Neurospora crassa OR74A: one gene and its partner. The protein of the gene in region 1 interacts with the protein of each later gene in a pairwise test. Links are inferred from orthologs where the notes say so. Each region holds a gene or a part of one and is shown in the gene's direction. Other genes may lie near its edges.

Evidence for each region. The genes of interacting proteins can lie anywhere in the genome.
Region 2: the proteins of NCU09894 (region 1) and NCU07795 interact in binary tests that used the Saccharomyces cerevisiae proteins (3 or more experiments, as listed by UniProt). The link is inferred for Neurospora crassa OR74A from reciprocal best matches to the Saccharomyces cerevisiae genes MAK21 and RRP15.

Annotation. Positions count from the first base shown.
Region 1 is NC_026501.1:3,984,923-3,990,812, forward strand, and holds NCU09894 (CCAAT-box-binding transcription factor), read left to right. Parts: upstream 1-1,964; 5' UTR 1,965-1,969; coding exon 1,970-2,776; intron 2,777-2,833; coding exon 2,834-4,510; intron 4,511-4,572; coding exon 4,573-5,370; 3' UTR 5,371-5,706; downstream 5,707-5,890.
Region 2 is NC_026505.1:268,238-272,931, forward strand, and holds NCU07795 (DUF1665 domain-containing protein), read left to right. Parts: upstream 1-1,763; 5' UTR 1,764-1,932; coding exon 1,933-2,958; 3' UTR 2,959-3,136; downstream 3,137-4,694. Other genes in the region: NCU07794 (2Fe-2S iron-sulfur cluster binding domain-containing protein), read right to left, coding at 3,398-3,743, 3,827-4,056. UniProt on the Saccharomyces cerevisiae protein: Constituent of pre-60S ribosomal particles. Required for large subunit rRNA maturation, in particular processing of the 27S pre-rRNA at the A3 and B1 sites to yield 5.8S and 25S rRNA.

The DNA of each region.
Region 1 (5,890 bases):
ATAGTACTATTTGAGCCCAAAGATAAGTATTGCGTTTGGGTTAGTAGGAGTATTATTGTAGGCTTTAGGGTATTGGAGCTATATCTGCTTTGCTTTCTCTTATAAAAGTTCAACTATAGTACTTAGACTACGAATTTCGAGCTCTAATTGCACACGAAAGAATATTATTCTAAAAACTAGCCAATTACTATTCTTTGGGTGAATTTTCTTGAAATATTATAAGGAGGAATCAATATTTACGAGATAGGTAGGGTTTTTATTCTTATTAAAATAGTAAAATATAATATAGTTTGGTAGTAATACATTTTACTTTCTTTGAATTTATTAAGTCAATTGAGTAAGACTTAAGCGGTAAGGCTAGTTGTTTGCCTATTTAAAATTTAAAACGCTACTCCTAAGTAAGGGTATTATAATATTAGGTAATTATAGTCAGTATTGTTGCGTAGAGTAATTTAATTGCTAATAAAATGTATAAGGTTGATAGTTGTTTATAAATAGAAAGGGTAAAATGAAGGGATGTACTAGTATGAGGGTAAAAGAGTAAAGGGGGGAAAGAATAAGGAGAATCCTTTAGAAATTGGGCAGCTAGCTATACTATTTGGAGGGTTTCTAGTACCCCTAACAGCTCTAATAAGGGGTATTAGGTACATTTGACACCCCTTATTAGCTCCCTCGAGGGGTCCCTGGCAATTGTAAATTTATATAGCGAGCCGGCTAACGGCTAGCACTTAGCAGCTAGTAGGTATACTATACTAAAATAATACATATAGTGAAATTCCTAGTATTTGTTAAGTATTTGCATTTATTAGGTCTAGCATTTACGAGGCACATTACTATAAATAGAAGTGTCCGGTGAGTGGGATTCATTAGTAAATCCAATATATACCCCACGGGCACTAAACTCCTAGTTGTAGGTCCTTCTACAAGTTAATACTAGTTTGTTTGTTAGTTTGGTTCTTTAGCTATACGTTGAATAGGAGAAATTGTTTAAAGCTTCTATTAGCCTTTAAAGAGAGAAAAGGGCCTCTGTTGGAAGCGTTATATAATAATAGCCAGGGTGGAAAATGCTATGGAAGCCTTCTTATACCCCTCTTTGTCTCATTTAGGACCTCCAAGACTGGAAGATATGAGAGAGTAGTCCCCTTTTAGTACCTGTCTGAATGAGGTTCAAACGTTTTTCCTACCCTCGACATTTGGTAGCTGGCTCTAGAGTAGAAATTGGCTTTTTTTTAGTACTAAACCTACAAACACACTAAAGTTAGATTGTACAATTCAATTCTAAATCAAATATTGAAAAAGTTTAATTGTACGGTCAATATTATCTATCCGTACGGTAATGAAAAATAGACTTTCATATTCTTTTTCTAACTTAATAGAGTTTAGTATTAACTTACCAAAATGCATTATATTTTTTCTGATCTTTTACTCTATCTAACACTCTTTTTGGAGTGACCAGACCTACCTAGTAGCCCTAGGAAACTCTCAAAGAAGATAGCTATTATAAATAAATAATTAATAAGATTTTAGATGAAAAAGGCTTAAGGGGTAGTTTTTCCATGATGCTTAGGGATATAGATTTGGTACCTACCTTAAAAAATTCCTCAAAAATGAACGAATAGTTTGGTGCCACTTTCAGTTTCATTAGTCTCCGTTTTACTAAGTTATACTTAATAAAGCAAAAGTAGACCACCGTACGGATAGACAATATTAACTGTACGATTAGACTTTCTCCAAATATTACCCAGCGTAGGACTTAACACTTTTAGCACTATTTCAGGCTTGCATCGCCAAACTCCACCGAATGAAACTTGATAAGAAAAAGTGTCAATCGAAGTACCGCGCCAATGATGAACCAGCCGAGGTTTGGAGAGTACTGCATAGTACATAGAGATTTGTCAGTGTACTGTGTACATCTGTACCTCCACTTGCTCCACTCTTCCTGCAAGACGCACGAGGGTCCGCTAGGTGCATGATCCAAGCATTTTTTTTTCCAACCCTTCCTCGTAGATGGTTTATTTTGCATCACCAACAGCCAACCTCGAGACACATTGTGCCGGCCCGCTGTCCATTGATTTCGGCAACGACGGATTTAGGAGATATGGGCTCATCCAAGTCACCGAGGCAAAGAAAGAGGAAAGGCATGGGGCCGGCTTTCGACGAAGCAGCAGCACTTGCTCAACTGACCGAAAAGATCGACCAAACTCTCGCTGGCGTCGGCACTGACCAACACGCGTCACCAAATCGCAAGAGACCGAACACCACAGCTGATGATCGAGATGCAAAGAGGCGCCAGAAATCTCTACTGGGCACTGAAGAAGGACAAGAGGACCGTTCCAGCAAAGACCAGTCCCACAATGCAACAAAGGAGGTTCTGCTGGAGGAAATTTTGGCCTTGGGCGGAGACGAGGATGATCTTGAGCTTGTCGCCAATGTTGATTCCGACAATGAAGAGGGACCTGGCATGAAATCTGCGTCGGCGCCCGAAAAATCCCTGGATAAGTCATTTCATGAGGAACTGACAAAGTTCGCCTTGAGCCTGGGCTTCCAGAACATACCCCGCGAGGATGACCTTGAAAGCGTGTCGTCTGAAAACCCCGTCGACGAGGAACAAGACGAAGAAGACGACGAAGAAGAGGACGACGACGCGGAACAAACAAAACAGGATGACAGCCAGGATCAGGAACAGCCTCTAGCCATTTCTGCCACAGTAAAAAGTGAGAGCACAACTACGACCGCCCAAGACACCCTGCGCGGGAAGAAAGGCAAGAACAAGCTGGTTAGTTCGACGCTCTCGCTGCCGCAGACTTACCTGGCGGTATGCTAACTTGAGTAGGGTTTTGAGCCCAGACCTGACTGGCATGCTCTCGACCTCGAGGGCCTACCTGCCTTCACACCATCTGCCGACGTTAGGCAATATTCTTCAGCGATTGCCAACCTCAAAGCTTACGCGGACGCTCTCTTGAAGGAGGACGCGGCAAGATACAACGCCCTCCAGGCCTCCAGCTCCACTCAGAAGTTCATGTCGACCATTATGTCTTCCGGCACCTTATCCGACAAGGTATCTGCCTTAACCTTGTCGATACAAGAGTCTCCTCTCCACAACCAGAAAGCCTTTGAAACCCTGATCGGGTTGGCCGGCAAGAAAAGCCGTAGTCAGGCACTCGCTGCCCTGGGCGCTCTAGTGGATCTGCTGGGCAATGGCACAGTTCTGCCAAGTAATCGCCGGCTTCGTCCGTTCAACATGCAACCCGCCTTGCTGGCCGCTTTACAAGATCAAGCTGTGCTGCATTGGGTTCAGGGCCAGAAGCTCCCAGCCAAGCTAACTGATTCTTACCTGATGATGTGGGCATACGAGGATTGGCTCAAAGCAGCGTATTTTCGCATTGTCCAGCTCCTCGAAATCTGGTCGACTGATCAGATTGAGCATTCGAGAATGCGCGCGCTGGAATTTGTTTTCACATTGCTCCGGGACAAGCCGGAACAAGAGGCCAATTTGTTGCGACTTCTTGTTAACAAACTCGGTGATCGCGAACGGAAAATTGCATCTCGGGCGTCATACCTCCTCTTGCAGTTGCTCAACATTCACCCTGCGATGAAAAGCATTGTCATCAGCACGGTAGAGCAAGAGGTTTTGCTCAAGCCAGGCCAAGGTCTGCGCACCAAATACTACGCCATCATCACCCTGAATCAAACCATCTTGAGCACCAAAGAGCCCGCTATAGCCAACACGCTACTCCGAATCTACTTCGAGGCTTTCCTTTCCCTCCTCAAAACTGGCTCATTGGGAAACCTGGAAGCGCTAAATTCCGAGGACAAATCTGGCGGCAGCAACAGGAAAGCTAAGAAGGGCAAGCGAAATCACACCGAGGCTTCTGCCAACGAGCAGGATACGACACAAAAACTCGTATCCGCACTGCTTACTGGTGTCAATCGTGCGGTACCCTTCACTACCGCCGACGATGAGACCATGGAAAAACATCTCGATACCTTGTTTCGCATCACGCACTCGTCGAACTTCAACACCAGCGTGCAAGCACTCATGCTCATTCAACAGCTCGCCGTGACCAAACATCTCGCTGTTGACCGATTTTATCGGACATTGTACGAATCATTATTGGATCCCAGACTCATCACGTCATCGAAGCAAGCATTGTACATGAATCTACTTTTTCGAGCCCTGAAGAATGATGCCGACGTGCGGAGAGTGAAGGCTTTTGTCAAGAGATTGGTTCAGGTGCTTAACCTGCATCAGCCGTCCTTCGCATGCGGGGTGCTATATCTGATTTCCGAGCTGGAGAACATGTTTCCTGACCTTCATTCGTTGCTTACTGTTCCCGAGGAGAATGAAGATGATGGCGTGGAGGCTTACAAGGATGTCAATGATGATGCGGCTCTGCAGCGCAGTCTCTTGCGTGAAGACGCACCAACTTCCCGTCGTGCCACAGGATATGATGGACGAAAGAGAAATCCCGAGCATAGCAATGCGCACAGAAGCTGCTTGTGGGAATTGGTAAGTGCCTATTTGAACTCTGATTGCATGTGAAACCAGTTTACTAACCTCAAAACCACCAGGCTCCTCTTCTATCTCATTTCCATCCATCCGTACACGTTTATGCCAGTAACCTTCTCGTCCGTCAAAAGGGCCTGCCGAAGCCGGATTTGGCCAACCACAGCCTCATGCATTTCCTGGACAAGTTTGTCTACCGCAACCCCAAGATTACCGAGACCAAGCGCGGAAGCTCAATCATGCAGCCGGTCCTCGCTACTGGTGGCGCCTCCCAAACTGTCGTGTCCAGCAAAGATGGCGCCAAGAAGCAGCCTTCCGTCAACTCGGCCTCATTTTGGAATCTCAAACCAGGTCAGGTTTCCGCCGAAGATGTTTTCTTCCATGAGTATTTTGCTCGCATCGGCAAGCCTGGAGACATGGCAAAGAGCAAGAAAGCATCCAAGGAGAACAGTGGTCTGGACGGCGAAGAACAAGAGGAAGAAGGCGAAGACGAGATCTGGGAAGCATTGGTCAATTCTCGACCCGAGGTTGAGGGTGAGCTGGATGAAGACGAATCCGACCTCGGAATGGATGGATATGACGACTCAGACGAGGAGATGGACACTGTCGGCTTTGATATGGATGGCCCTCGCGAGGACTTCGAGGGATCTGACAGTGATGTGCCCTTTGAAGGCATTTTTGATGATTCGGATGACTCGGAAGAGGAAGCGGTGGTGGATGAGAGCGCTGGCGAGGAGGATGCTTCGACGGCAAAGAAGAAGGGCAGACTTAGCAGGAAGGAGATGAGGGGTCTGCCAACATTTGCCTCGGCCGATGATTACGCTGAGATGCTGGCTGGTGAGGATGGCATGGCCGACGATTAGTGCAGTTGGGCAAAGCGTTTCGATTTGTGGGCGAAAAGCTAGTTAGCCTGTAGCTCTCGTAACCTGGTTGGCTAAAGATCCTTCCCCTGTTGACTATGGTGAGATGGGTAAGTCCAACCCGTGGATTGACGTTGTACACACAGTGCCCACGAAGCTTTGGCTTTGGTGGTTGGTGTCAGATACCTGACAGGGAGGTAAAACTTTTGCTCGCAACCGCAGGACATTCGCCTACATGCCCTACCAAAGATGTTTGTTCGCCTCCTTGCTCAAGAAGGCAATGATTCCAGTATTTGCTACAATGACTGGAGTAGCCATGATGTTTCTGATGCTTGCTCGTGATAGAATGCTACTACATTTACTGCTACGTAGCGTACATACCTCATGGATACGTACCTATTCAGATTGTTTACACATCAGCTGGCTGGCCAACCACGCAGGGACATGTGACAAGGGGTATGCGGTGGGGAAAGCGGAGAACATTAGCGGTCATCGGATTTAAGATGTGAAGAGGTTAGTCGTG
Region 2 (4,694 bases), on another chromosome or scaffold:
TGGCTTCTTCAAGTGTTCTGGCTTTTGATCGGGATGGATTTTGAGCCAATACAGCGTGTACTTATGACCTTGCCGCTACAGTCGTTGGGACCGAGACGTTCGGGGTCTCAAGTCAAAATTGTGGCGTATGATGGAAGATGAGCAATGGTTTCAGCTTTTTTCCCTCAAGACTTCTTGGGCTGCAAATAAACACCCGATGAACTAATCGTCGGGTGTTGTAAATAGTTTGGACCCATTCCTAGAAATCGGGCGGGTAAGGCAAGTCACGGTCCGTCTTGAAGGAACATGTCCAAACTTCCAGAATCTGTCAGCAACAGAGTGTGGCATCGCACTGGTAGCTTCCTTACCTATTCACAATTAGTGATTTCTTGGCGCTGTATGCACGATGCGTTAGTAGCAATGATATTTACATATTTCCTGGTCACGGGAAAATAAAAGATCACGTACTAGTAGTTTGGGCCTGATTCTTTGGCGGGTCTGAACACCAGTCAGCAATCCGAAACCAGAGGCGAATAGAATGCATTGACTTAGCTCAGGTATGAAGATTGATCTTCACGATACTTCCGTATCGGACTTGCTTCTCGGATATCATGACGAACCCGTAACCGTGTGCTGATATCCCACCTTTTCACTTGGCGTTGTTCCATCTCTGGAAATGAACAAGTTCATGACGTGCTTTGCTTCTACAGCTCACATCGAACTGCTTCTGCTCCATGGCAATGGTGTTTTATGAGACCGTGACCCAATCACTTACACGCAAAGTTGGGAGAAGCGACCTAGCGACAGGAAGGTGCGAAGCTCAAAGTTCAGGACCTGAGGGCACCGATCCAATACTCTTCCTCCAATCGCTCACCCACGTGTCACTACCTACTAGTAAATGGCGCGAGATGGCAGGCAGTAGCAGCTTGGATGCTCCACGGATTTCTAATACATCGAACCTGGTCACTCCGTCAGGAAAACCTGGCTCGGGAAAGTAGGGAGGTACATGTACTGTAACTGCAGAAGCGTGCCTCTTGGATGGCAGAAGCTGTGTTCTGTAGAGGAAGGTATGTACAGCAAGATAAGAGGTATCGTGCATGGAGCCGTAGCGATCGATGTAATGCGAACCAATTCAACGGTGGCAGTCGGATTCATCTAGGTTCCGCTTGCGTATGTCCAACGTGAATTAACCTGTAAAACCCGGAATTGACGTGCATTACTTACCTAATCGAGCTCAGGTATATCGTCATGCATCGTTCGACTGTAAATGATGTTCAAAAGTTTCAACATTCAATTGGTCGCCGAAGTGCAACATGCTCAGACAAAGGTCTGTACATTATGCCGACCGCTGTTCATCGAGGTGCTCAGGTTCGGTCCAGGGGCAGATCAACTTTGTTAGGTCTCGTCGCTGCCGCCCGTTTGTGAGTAACGTGTCCTGAGACCATATGCTTGAGATCGTATCGATCCAAAGCGCGAAATGTGAAACACGTAGACAATTTCATACTGTTCGATAATGTCAATGTCGAGTTGTCATGGGAAGAGGTTGTCGTCGAATTGAGCCGTTGAAGTCACGGCTTACTAGGGTTAGGGGTGATTCTGATGACGGCAGAGCGGGTCCACCGTTCATCCCCGCTGGGCTGCCCTTGGTTCCACCAAGTGTGGGGTTGACGCAAGACAGGGACAGGGACGCAGGGCATATTGCCGGCCGCGACCGCCAAAAATTTCTGAGTGGAGAGCACCTCAGCAATTGGGAAGTTTCGAATGGAGGGACCTGCACTCCGAACCTCGACCATCTCGGCAGCACCTCCAATCCGCGATAAACAATTCTGCCCGTATTTCTCCCCCTCGGCTTGATCAGCTGGCAAATCGATCCCAAACACAACCACTATTCCATCTGCTTAATTCACATACAACCTACATCCAATCAAACCAGACACACACACAATCACAACCATGGGCATCACCAAGCGCAAAGAAGGCCCCAGCAGCAAGGGCAAGCCCGTCCGACCGTCCAAGAAGCAGAAGGCGCAAGCATTGGCCGCCTACCACAGCAGTTCAGAGGAGGAATCCGACAACGAGCAGCAAGATGTTGAAGACCAAAGCGACGAGGAGGCCGGCACCTCCGCCGTTCCCGCCCACCTCCTCGACTCGGACGACGAAGACCTAGACAACCTCGTTGCCGACGATGGCGCATCCACAGACGAAGAGCAAGCATCCGACTCTGATGATTCCGAAGCCGAACAACCATCAAACAAGTCCTCCAAGAAGTCGCAAACAAAACCCAAATTCGTCGCCAAAGACGCCCCAGATTCCGAAGACGACGAGGACGACTCCCTAGACGGCGGTTCCGACCTGGGCTCCGACCTCGACGATGAATTCGACCTCGACGGCTCGGGTGATGAGAACGGCAACAGGAGACAAACCAAATCCAAGCGCAACGATCCCGACGCCTTCGCCACCTCCATCACCAAAATGCTTTCCTCCAAGCTGCCCGCCTCGCGACGCGCCGACCCCATTGTCGCGCGCTCCGCCGAGTCTGCAGCCGCCGCCAAGTCCCTGGTCGACGCAGCGCTCGAAGCCAAGGCGCGCAAGCGTTTGCGCGAGCAGAAGCGTCTGGCCTTTGAGAAGGGTCGGGTGCGTGATGTGTTGGTCCCTAGCAAGACTAGGACGCTCAACATCCAGACGGGCGAGATCGAGGAGATTCCGGATGGAAAGGAGGGCGAGCAGACGACGGGTCAGATTCTGGAGACGGAGAGGAGGCTGAAGAAGACGGCGCAGAGGGGTGTGGTGAAGCTGTTTAATGCGGTTAGGGCGGCGCAGGTCAAGGCGCAAGAGGCGGAACGGGCGGCGAGGCAGGAGGGAATCGTGGGTGTGAAGAGGAGGGAAGAGAAGGTTACGGAGATGTCGAGGAAAGGGTTCTTGGACTTGATTGCGAGCGGTGGTGGGGGGTTGAAGAAGGGTGGCTTGGAGGAGGCTTAAGGGAATTGCATTCTGGTGTAGAGGGGTGATTGTTTATTGTGTTTGCATATTGTCAAGGTCTAGGCTATTTTCTTATATACAACCCCGTGCCCTTGATCTGGGGCAAACAGTTGAACAACGTACAAGCCCCATGCAGAAGTATGAACAGTCAACATGCTCTTGCCAATCCGTCATATCCATCAACATGAACATTGCCCATCACAGATATCCGATAAACTCTGCGCTGAACGCCGTCGCCTCAACAATCCGACAGAAATGGAATAGATGTCGTGTTTGTGCCATATATATTCCGTCGTCCGTCTCCATTTTTCTTTACACCACAGTGAATCCCCTGCCCCTTCACCTCTACCTTCTTCTTCTTCTTCCTCCATGCTCAACCCTTCATCGCCTGATATTACCTCCCCCCAATCCCATGTCATTCATTCCATGACGGCACGGTCTAGGACTTGAAATCACTAGCCTGCAAATTCCTCGTCATGCTCGGCAACTTGACCACCAACCCATCCAACTCCTTGGTCATGTGCACCTGGCACCCCAGCCGGCTCGTCTCGGTGAGTCCAAACGCCAAGTCCAACATGTCGTTCTCGTCGTCGTCGGGCTCCGGCATCCGGTCGTACATGTCCTGGTCCTGCACAATGACGTGGCAGGTCGAGCACGCGCAGGAACCGCCGCAGGCGCCTTCCATTTCGAGGTCGTGCGCTTGGGCAATGTCGAGCAGGTTGTCGCCTTCGGAGACGGCGAGGCGGTGGGTTTGGTTGTCTTTGTCGATGAATGTTACGTAGAGTCTGTGTGCCGCCGCGAACAAATTGCTAGTTAGTGGTTGTGGGAGACTGGTGAGGGACAAGAAGGGGAATGCGCTCAAACTGACTCTTCGCCGGGCTTGGGAGGGTCGACGTGGCCGTGCTGGAGAGCGGAAGAGGTGGAAAGCGAACGGCGCGCAGAAGCGGAAGCAGAAGCAGAAAGCTGTGTCGTCGTCGACCACGCGGTAGGCAGACGCTGCGGTTGTGTTCGGAGAGGTGCGGTGGTGGTCTTGCTGTAGCACCGGGCATGCTGTGCGAGCCTTTGGAGGCTCTGCCTAAGAACTCGCGGGGTCGACATTGTGTATTGTATGGGCGCAACACCGGATCGTAAAGGGTGTCCAAAGCGTTATCAAAGAAAACAATGAAGTCGAGAAAGTTGTTTGGTTGACTGGGAGTTGCCGCGAGATTATGGAGATGGAATCCCAGATCCAATGCGGCGCGCGCGGGAACGGAGTCGTTGGAAGTGGAGGAGACACTTTTTGGACCTGGACCTGAATGGCAATCGGCACCAGGAGTAGCAAGAGATGACTGGGATGGGGATTCAAACGAATAAAAAAATGGAGAATTATCAATTAACGATATACATACACGCCGATCGAAGCTGACACTTCGGCGTAGGTAAGAAAAAAAAAAAAAAGTAGAGACCTTCAAAATGTTACAAGCCAATGGTTGTCCATGGTTGGAATCCCTTCACTTTCCCAATGTACTCGGATCTGAGTATTCAGCTGCAATCCATGACAAACACCAAGCGCCTTCAATGTCCGACAAAGAAACGCGATTCGCAACCCAACTTGGAGGACTTAGCAATCACAAGACGACATCAGAAGGAAGAAATGTGATCCATCATACATGTAAATGTTAGGTTCCTGATCTCATCACAATGCGCAAAAAAAGCAAACAGCATCTGTCCATTGTGATCGATCAAGGATTTCTTCA